Drosophila melanogaster: one gene and its partner. The protein of the gene in region 1 interacts with the protein of each later gene in a pairwise test. Each region holds a gene or a part of one and is shown in the gene's direction. Other genes may lie near its edges.

Region 1 (3,945 bases):
TCCCCAAAACATGCCTTACTTAACTGAATTTTCCACAAAACATGACGCATCTGCGGCTCCATGACTACGCCTTTCCATTTGTGCCGGATCCACACGCACACACGCGCAACCATTGACGCCAACACGAACACACCACACGCAGAGTGCAAATAACGGAGAAACATCAAGACACGCAGAGGAGCAGCAACTGGAAGAGGACAACATGGCCAACATCCTGGAGAACCAACTGTTCACGGCCGCCAAGACCATCGAGCAGCAGCTGGACCAGCAGCTCGACCGCCTGGACAACCTCGATTCGGATGACCTAAAGGTCCTGCGGGAGCAGCGGCTCCGCGAAATGAAGGACCTGAACAACAAGAAGCAGGAGTGGCTCAGAAACGTAGGTGATCATCTCTTACAACACTCAATTATTGAAGATACTTCGAGATTGTTCTCTAAGTGGTATATGACCAAATGGTATTCAACATGCGACTTTTAAGACATTCGCGACACTTGCTTCGATTAATTCAAATTAGTTTTCAAATTGGGCTACCAGCTTAAATAGCTCAAAACTTAAATATATATGTAAAAATTAACTTTCAAAGAAAACCTTGTTAGCGCAACAATCTCATTAATCCCCAAAATTGCTAATCTTTTCCAGGGTCATGGCACCTACACCGAGCTGGCCGACGAAAAAGAGTTCTTCGAGATGTCGAAAAAGTCGCCCAACATTGTTTGCCACTTTTACCGCGACAGCACCGAGCGCTGCAAGATCGTGGACATGCACCTGAAGATCCTCGCGGCCAAGCACGTGGAGGCCAAGTTTTGCAAGGTGAATGCCGAAAAGACTCCATTCCTCACCCAGCGACTGCGCATCAAGGTGATACCCACCATCGCCCTGGTGAAGGACAGCAAGACCAAGGACTTCATTGTCGGATTCACCGATCTGGGCAACTGCGACGACTTCGCCACCGAAATGCTGGAGTGGCGCATCGCCCACTCGGGGGCCATTGACTACAAGGGCGATCTGATGCAGCCACCAGATGTGAAACGCAAACCATTCATCAACCGCCCACAGAAGACAATACGTGGAGGCTACGACTCGGATGACTCCGATATAGATCTGGATGACTAACTACGGGCAGTCCATCCCACACTCTCGATTACCCAAGCTCCAGCTTTCGTTCCACACTCCCACACAAGATACACTCAAAAGCGATGGAGTAACAAAAACGGACACACACAAATCAAAACCTAGCACATGGATCTAAACCAATTAGGCGTACTCTAGCGTTATTTATTTAATTATACGATTCCGATCCCTCTGCTACGGTCCCATCGCCACCTAGTGTAAGTGGCTAATTCGGTTGCCTTCCCCCCCGATTATGTGCTTTAATATCTATCAGTTCAATCAGCTGCCTCGAAGGCTGCGCCACTCTAGCGAGCTTAAGCGAACTCAAAATTTGATCTTTATGGTATTTGCAATTCCAAATGAATGTGCACCCTTTGCGTATATATGTTAAGTTGAGCATAGTTTTACAAACTGCCCTCGCCCTCCAGAAAACGGTGTACGTAAAACAAGAAACTAACATACACAGAGCATAAAAGACAAGAAACTAAATATCTGGCATATATATATTTTTAAAATTTCGATAAAAGGTGTATTGCATTTCCTACAGTAGAGGTAACTAACACTTACATATGTACAAGTTTTTATATTTATTTTTGTAATTCTACAAAGCATCAAAGGAAATCAACGATTAAATAGCATGTTCAAAACAATTGCAAGCGCTTGGTAATTGGTTGTAAACTTAAATGGTTCCCACACAGGTTTTTTGCATTTCAGATCGTACTCTTGGTAATATTTTATTTAAATCATACACGGGAAAGGCAGCTTTTTATTAAAATATGACTTTTTAACAAAAAGACTAGAATTTCTTTAAGAACTTATTATTTTCATCATTTATCGATATTATTAAACCTTACTTGGAAAACACAGAACTGATCATCGGGTTAAATAGTTTTGAATGAAATAATCCTGAAATAATAGGTTTGAACAAACTACGCTGCAGTTAAAGTAATGGTATTTCCCCGAACAGCTGATCATGAGATTCCGAAAATCCTCCCTTAACACAAGGGTTGCCAGTCTTGCCGCAGACGAATAACGGAATGGCCGCCAAAGACAAAAAGGGACGCCAACTGAATTTACCTGTAATGACGCCGTAATCCCGCCAATTGCAGCTTGCTCGCCATAAAACTACGGTCCAGACTATCGTCAAAATCGGTGCAAAAACTTTTACCTGCCAGGTGCATAAAACGCCCATCGAGGATTCGATTTACCATCATTGGTATTGTGAAACTCGAGGTGTACAGAAGTGATTCGAAATGGTTCTCGCTCCCGAAGTTCGAAGTATTGTGAAGGCGCTGAAGGGCTCGAACAGCTGTGAGGAGATAGCCCAGATCCTGGAGTGCGACGTGGAGAGCGTGATAAGCTGCATTCGTGAGTGTGAGCTGCTCGAGGGGAAGACTGCCACGCTGAGGTTGCCGCAAAAACTGAAAACAGCGGCGCCCGTGGCGGTTGCGCAGGAGGAGGAAAAGAAGCGCGATGTTGGCAGACCCAAGGTCCTGGAGAACCGGCAAATTGTCGAGCAAATGCTGAGCGACAATCCGCACTACACCTCCATCGATGTGCAGCGGGAGTTGGCCCGACACGGCATAGAGGTCAGCCGCAGGACCTTGCAGCGCAGGATCAGCGAGATTCGCTCCAAAGGCATACGGCAACCGAGAGGATCGCCACAGCCGAAGGAGCCCAGCACTTTCGGCCTCAGTGAGGGGGCGAAAAAAAGGAGGTTGGCCTGGGCCACCGCCCATCAGGATTGGACCGTGCGCGACTGGCGCAACATCTTCAACATGGACGATCTTAAATTCGTCGACGAATCAACGCCGCCAAAGGAGATCTTCCTTGACTCGCTGATGGGACCGGAGGGCAGTGTCTGCAATGACCTCAATCTCCTCGAGCAATTGATGGCCATCATCCAGCCGAGGATTCAGAATCAGGCGCCCAAAAATGTCAGCGAGTTTCGAGCCGTCTTGTACGACGTCTGGCACAGCGACCAGGACATGGTGGACAAAATTGAGATGCTCTACGAGTCGATGACGTGGCGGGTCTCAGCGGTCCTCCGCAACGGCGGGGATCAGACCGAGTTCTGCTAGCCAAGCTGTGGATTCCAATCGCACCCTGATTCTTGAATGTTGTATTGAAAATAACGACGTTCATGATCTTGTTTAATTTGACATATTATTAAGTTTGTAGTGGCCATATAATGTACATGGTACACTCTGATTAGATTCGCGGCGTAGGATTAAATATCTTCATTTTTTGAAACTATAACTATAAAAAAACATATACATTTTAATAAAGTGTAAAACAATATAATATCAACGATGTTTCAACAGCTTGGGAAATATTTCTTAAAAGTAATAATGTTTCAGAATACAAGCCAATTATTATTTTATTAAACAAACTTTAAATATGTATAACAATTTTATTTGATAAATGAACACTTTTTCATCATTAGAGTATGTTGTTAATTCGCCTCCTGAATTGCTTTTGGTTTCTTCGAAATTGACCATATATATTGCAATATAACAGCAATAGAATAGACTATTCCAATAACTATAAAATAGAATGCGTAGACGGAAAACTGTTGAAAAACATTCAAATTCAGATTGGCCTTTTCCGAGACGACGACAAATGTGAGGATGCACTGCAGGAGGAGTCCCACGAACGTGTTGAAACCAAACACCAGAGCGAAGCTATCCTCCTCCAAGCTGCTGGCCAACTCCGAGCTATAAGGTATTACGAGATTTGGTAAATTTCACCTGTTGGAAAAGGATCAAGAACTGCTTACCTGGCCACTGTTATGGTGAAGGCAAACAGGCCTCCATACAGCACATAGCCAAGAT
Region 2 (5,643 bases), on another chromosome or scaffold:
CAGCTGGCATGCGAGGAACGGCCAAGTAGAGCACATCGTCGAAGGTGGCGTCTAGTACCACTCCCTTGACATCCGGATACACAGAGGCAGCGTATAGTGTACTAAAGCCACCAATGCTCCAGCCATACAAAATTATATCCTCTACGGGGAACCTAAGATTGTTGATGGCAAACTGCACCACGGCATCGATGGCGTTCTTGTCCTGGTGGGGATGAGGAGTGCCTGTGCTGCCGGCAAATCCGGGATGATTCCAGCCCAAAACGGAATACTTTAAGGCCACTGGGGTGGCCATAATGCCCACTTCATAAAAACCGGCATTGCCCTCGGAGCAAATGACTAGAGTCTTGCCATTTCCCACGTTGTTTGGGCGATTGTCAATGAACAACGTATCGATTTCGTTCGAGTCAATGGTCTTAACCTTGTAGCGGATGCCGTTGTCATCCTCGATGAGCTTGGCGCGTCCGGAGATCAGCATGGGTCCTGCAAAATATTTTAGGTTCAGTATATGTAGAAGTCTATCTTATGGGCTTATCGGATTGCAATTTAACAACATTTCAGACAGCTTCACATATGTATATCTTTCTTACTCATAAGTTTCTGGAGTAGTTTGACCGAACCCGGATAGATCATGGAGAGCCCAAAGGTGTTTATGGCCAGGTAGGCGATGGCCTCACAGGGCAGTGTCGCCAGCTGGATGGGCTCCCGCCTTCTAGCCGTAACCACCGGCTTTTTGGTATCACTGAAAACGAAGATGTTATTCTGGCACACTTCAAAGGCGTAGCCCACTCACCCGGTTAGAGCTTTCACATCAAAGTCCACCGGCCAAGCGTTGAACTCGATGTCGAAGCGACGCAGCTCGCTGTTGGCATCTCCTGGTGCCTTGGAGGACTTTGCTCGGACGAGGGCCTTAATCATGTTGGAGTAGGAGCGCGATTGCTTGCGCCCCAGGCCGCGCATCACCAGCGATAGGATGACGATGAGGCCCACGCTGGTGGTGATCTTGGCCAGCGTCGGTATGGAATCGGTCACCAGGTAGCCGCGTCGGTATAGGAATGTGACGAGCAGCGGAGAAGTATAATAGCCCACGGACCACATAACCGATAGCTGCAACGGAGAGTGTCGATTTTCCACATTACCATATGCTCCAGATTCTGCCCCATGGGATCGCAGGGCACTTACCGTCGATAGAATCTGCTCCCCGAACTTTTCCACGGCACCTGCCTCGTACATCTTGCGCTGCGGCTCCGGCACACCGCGGTATTCCATGTAGAGGTTGGGGCCAAACACGTAATTTAGGAAACTCATCTTGGATCGGATCGTAGTCGGTATGTCTGGATATATTTAATTTTCTCTATTTTATTTTGTTGCAAATGATGTGAAAGCTGTTCCAGGGTGTCGCACTCACGAACAGATGTTTAACATCGAATACCAGGGCTGCCACATTAGATACCTGACCTATTAATTGTAAACTTCAAAATGTTGGTCCAAATTATTAAATGCAATAAAATATGCAGAGAGGATGTTTGATAATTTAGGTATTAATGTGTATGTATGTATTTTTTTTGAATTAAATGAAATTCCCAATTGGAAACTGAAAGCTCACACAAATGTGTACCTTTCGGAACTAGATCCCCTAATTGCTGTTATCAGAGAACGAGCCATCCCTGGTTCTACCCCAGGAATTTATTCCCAGTTGATAGACAAAAACGCCGGCTTAAAAATGGAAAAGTTTAATAAAGCGCAAGCTAAAAATTTGGCTGCCGCCCAAAAACTGGTGGACACCTACGCCTCCAGCTCCGAGGATGAAGGCGAACTGGATGAGAATCACATTTTGGGTAAATCGACCGATGCTTGTGACGTGTCATTTGAAAACCATCAAATTTTGTGCTTTATCTTTTCAGAACTCCTATACAAGAACTACAAACCGTCGGACAACGCAGGAAGCTCAAAGGAAGCGGCACGCACCAGTACGTTTCTGGAAAACACTCTACACTCGGGAGCGGCAACCTGTCTCATTTGCATCGGAAGCATTCGGCGGGTGGAGGCCATTTGGTCTTGCGAGAGCTGTTACTGCTTCTTTCACTTGAAGTGCATCCAACGGTGGGCCAACGACAGCATGATGCAGATGAAGGTAAAGGCGGCAGAGCAGCAGAACGGCCAGGGCCACTACAATCATCTGGGCGAATTTGTGCCGCCCAAGCGACAGAAATCCCTTCACTGGTGCTGCCCCAAGTGCCGCAGGGACTACCAACCGGCCGATAAGCCCACGCAGTACAACTGCTTCTGCGGCAAGGAGGTGAACCCCGAGAACCAGCCCTTCCTTGTGCCCCACTCATGCGGAGAGCACTGCGGAAAGCTTTTGCAACCGAAGTGTGGGCACGATTGCAAGCTGCTATGTCATCCGGGGCCATGTCCTCCTTGTGCGCAGCAGGCGCAGGTCTCGTGCCTGTGTGGTAAATCTAGTCCTAGGTCCGTGAGGTGCATTGACAAGCAGTGGACGTGTCAGCAGACTGTAAGTCTTAACGTTTTAAGAAATTTTGTCTGACCACCATACTAAAAAAATGATTTTCCAGTGCAAGGAACTTCTAGCCTGCGGCAAGCACAAATGTAATCAGGTGTGTCATCAGCCAGGAAAGTGTCCTCCATGCACCAGCAAAAGCTTACAACCTTGCGAGTGCCAGCGGGAGTCGAAGATGGTCAACTGCTCCGATCGGAAATGGAAGTGTCAGAATGTAAGAAAAGCCTTTTGAAGCTGAAGCATAAAACAACATTAATATTCTTTCAGGTTTGTGGAGCTCCATTTGCTTGTGGTTTGCACATTTGCGAGAAGGTGTGTCACGCTGGACCCTGCGGAGATGGAGAGTGTCCTTTGCAAGTCAGGAGTTGCCCATGCGGCAAGAATGTATGTGATATATTTATTTACAAGTTTATATTCATTTATGATTACCTAATTCTGTAGACCCAGGTAAGACCCTGTAATGAGACAGAGGAAACCTGTGGCGATACGTGCCAAAAACTTTTGTCCTGTGGCCAGCACACTTGCACCCAGCGTTGTCATCGTGGACCTTGCATTTCCGTAAGATAGCCACCAGGGAAGCAAATCGATTCTCTAATGAAATATGTTTCTTACAGTGCCCAATAAGAACCAAAAAGAAGTGTCGTTGTGGTCTGCACGAAAAGGAGTTGCCCTGCTCCAAAGAGTTTGCATGCGAGACTAAATGCAAGCAAATGCGTGATTGCGGCAAGCATGCATGCAATAGAAAGGTATAAGAGCACGCAAGCATTTTAAATGTATACAGCCGAATTAACCAATAACCTTTTTTAAAGTGCTGTGGGGACCAGTGTCCACCGTGCGAAAAGATTTGTGGCAAGCAGCTGAGCTGCAACAAGCACAAATGTCAGTCCGTGTGCCACAACGGACCTTGCTATCCGTGTAAACTGGAATCCCAGATTAACTGCCGCTGTGGAAAGACCAAAAAAAGTGTTCCTTGTGGCAGGGAAAGAAGTGCACGCATTGTCTGCTTGGAACTCTGTCGGTTCGTATTTCTTTCGCAATATATAATGACCGACTTTTAATCTCACTTCTTGCAGCATAACTCCCAAATGTCACCATGCCATTAAGCATCGTTGTCACAAGGGTGACTGTCCTCCATGTGGCCAAGTGTGCGGTCTACCCAATGACACCAGCAAGTGTGGGCACATCTGTAAGGCACGATGCCACGAGGCAGTTAGAGTTAATAAACCCAAAGAGGCTAGGCCACAGGCCAAAAAGGTAACTATAATCACAAAACTCACCTATCTCAACATTAAAACTCTACAATTTGTTTTACAGTATGAGTATAAGGCATTACCACATCCACGGTGCGAGGAAGGCGTCATTGTCACCTGTATCGGAGGTCATGAGGTTGCCACTTGGCCATGCTGGAACTCCAAACCCACTTCCTGTCAGCGATCGTGTGCACGTCAGCTTAAGTGCGGCAATCACAAGTGTTCATTGGTTTGCCATTTCGTACCGCTTCCCCAGGATATGTCTGCGCAAACTGGCTGTGCCAACTGCGAGGAGGGTTGCACCGTTCCCCGACCAACCGGATGTATTCACGCCTGTCCCAAAGGATGTCATCCACCGCCCTGTGCGCCCTGCAACTTTGTGATTAAGACCAAGTGTCACTGTGGACTCAACCAGTTGGTTTACAAGTGCAACGAGTATTATGATGAAACGGGATCGGTCCAGGAGATCATCGAGCGAAGAGAAAAGCTACGGAGCTGCGGTAATCGATGCTTGAAGAATGTAAGTGCTGTAATATACCATTGTCGATCAAGCCTTACAGTGATATATATATTTTTTCAGTATCCTTGCGGACATCGCTGCACAGCCATCTGCCACACAGGCAAGTGCCCAAATCCCGAGTTGTGCCGCAAGAAGGTTCGCATTTTCTGCGCCTGCAAGCGACTCAAGCAGGAGATTGCCTGTGACAAACACCGTGCTGGTCAGACATTCTTGGATTGCGACTCGAACTGCAAGGCGGAGCAAATTCGCGTCCAGGCGGCAGAGCAACTGCAGCTGGAACAAAAGCGTCGCGACGAGGAAGAAAGAAACCGCCTGGAACTCGAGAAGTTCGAGGCCAAGTTCGGCAAACGCAAGCACAAGGAGCGCAAAACTGTGGGTTCTGGACCGGCCAAGACCAAGATCGATTGGCAACGTAGAGCAATCTATGCAGTATCCATTCTAACAGTTGTGGGTGCAATTGTGGTGGCTTTCTACGCGGACAGTTAAACGAGTAACAACAACCGATTCAAACAAGAATTTGTAATATCAATTTAAACAGATAAGCAAATAGAATTAAAACAATGACTGATAAGCATTTCCAGCCAGCGCAGTGTTTGTCTATGTTGAGCTTTTCTAATCAGGCTGGCCAATTACTCCGCCTTGGCCTTCTTCTTGTAGACGCAAGCGGCGGTGAAAACGGAGGCGCTAAGGAACGTCGAAATCAGGAAGTTTGATAGCAACATCCAATCGTGGGACTGGAAGAACACCGTGTAGATTCGAGCTGTAAGGGATACATATATGATGTGTTAATTGATGACATCAAGTGATGGAATGCAAGATGTGATCTCACTCATGTTTGTAAAGGCGGAGAGCGCCCATGTGGTTCTACTGACGGAACTGGCATCCTTGGTCCTCAGAATAGCCAGCAGCTGGAGGACCTTACTCGTGGCTCCAATGGGAGTGCAGAAAGGCTGACGGGAAATCAAACATTTAGATGAATTTCACGAGATTTATATATATTGCCCGAGCACTGAAAGTATTAATAGCCGCTCAAATATTATACAACAAACATCGGTGACCTTGAGCGAAGATGCTGCCCAGTTAAGAGCACCGCCTTTTCAAACTAAAACAAATAACAAATCAAACCAAACCCGTTTGCCCGGAAACATAATTAGTTAATTGGAAAAGAGAGCGGGGAACGGGTTTGAACTGCGCCGAAGTCGTTATCTGGGCAAGAATACCCGACTAATCAGTCACTAGGTGATATCAATACAGGCTTACTCACCACCAGGAACTTAAGGATGATAATGGGAAAGAGCTTCATGTATATGAGAGTGGCCACTATACTATACAGTATGGCCACCACTTGCGTCCTC

The links.
Region 2: the proteins of CG4570 (region 1) and CG15011 interact in a two-hybrid assay, tested with the Drosophila melanogaster proteins (2 studies listed by BioGRID).

Annotation. Positions count from the first base shown.
Region 1 is NT_033777.3:10,854,654-10,858,598, forward strand, and holds CG4570 (uncharacterized protein), read left to right. Parts: upstream 1-2,153; 5' UTR 2,154-2,364; coding exon 2,365-3,192; 3' UTR 3,193-3,413; downstream 3,414-3,945. Other genes in the region: CG4511 (uncharacterized protein), read left to right, coding at 203-379, 641-1,114; CG14694 (uncharacterized protein), read right to left, coding at 3,567-3,828, 3,891-3,945.
Region 2 is NT_037436.4:4,255,205-4,260,847, reverse strand, and holds CG15011 (uncharacterized protein), read left to right. Parts: upstream 1-1,695; 5' UTR 1,696-1,720; coding exon 1,721-1,835; intron 1,836-1,901; coding exon 1,902-2,512; intron 2,513-2,573; coding exon 2,574-2,732; intron 2,733-2,785; coding exon 2,786-2,902; intron 2,903-2,959; coding exon 2,960-3,076; intron 3,077-3,132; coding exon 3,133-3,264; intron 3,265-3,327; coding exon 3,328-3,536; intron 3,537-3,591; coding exon 3,592-3,772; intron 3,773-3,832; coding exon 3,833-4,288; intron 4,289-4,348; coding exon 4,349-4,774; 3' UTR 4,775-4,857; downstream 4,858-5,643. Other genes in the region: CG1309 (uncharacterized protein), read right to left, coding at 1-480, 588-739, 791-1,104, 1,180-1,305; CG1265 (uncharacterized protein), read right to left, coding at 4,918-5,048, 5,118-5,238, 5,553-5,643.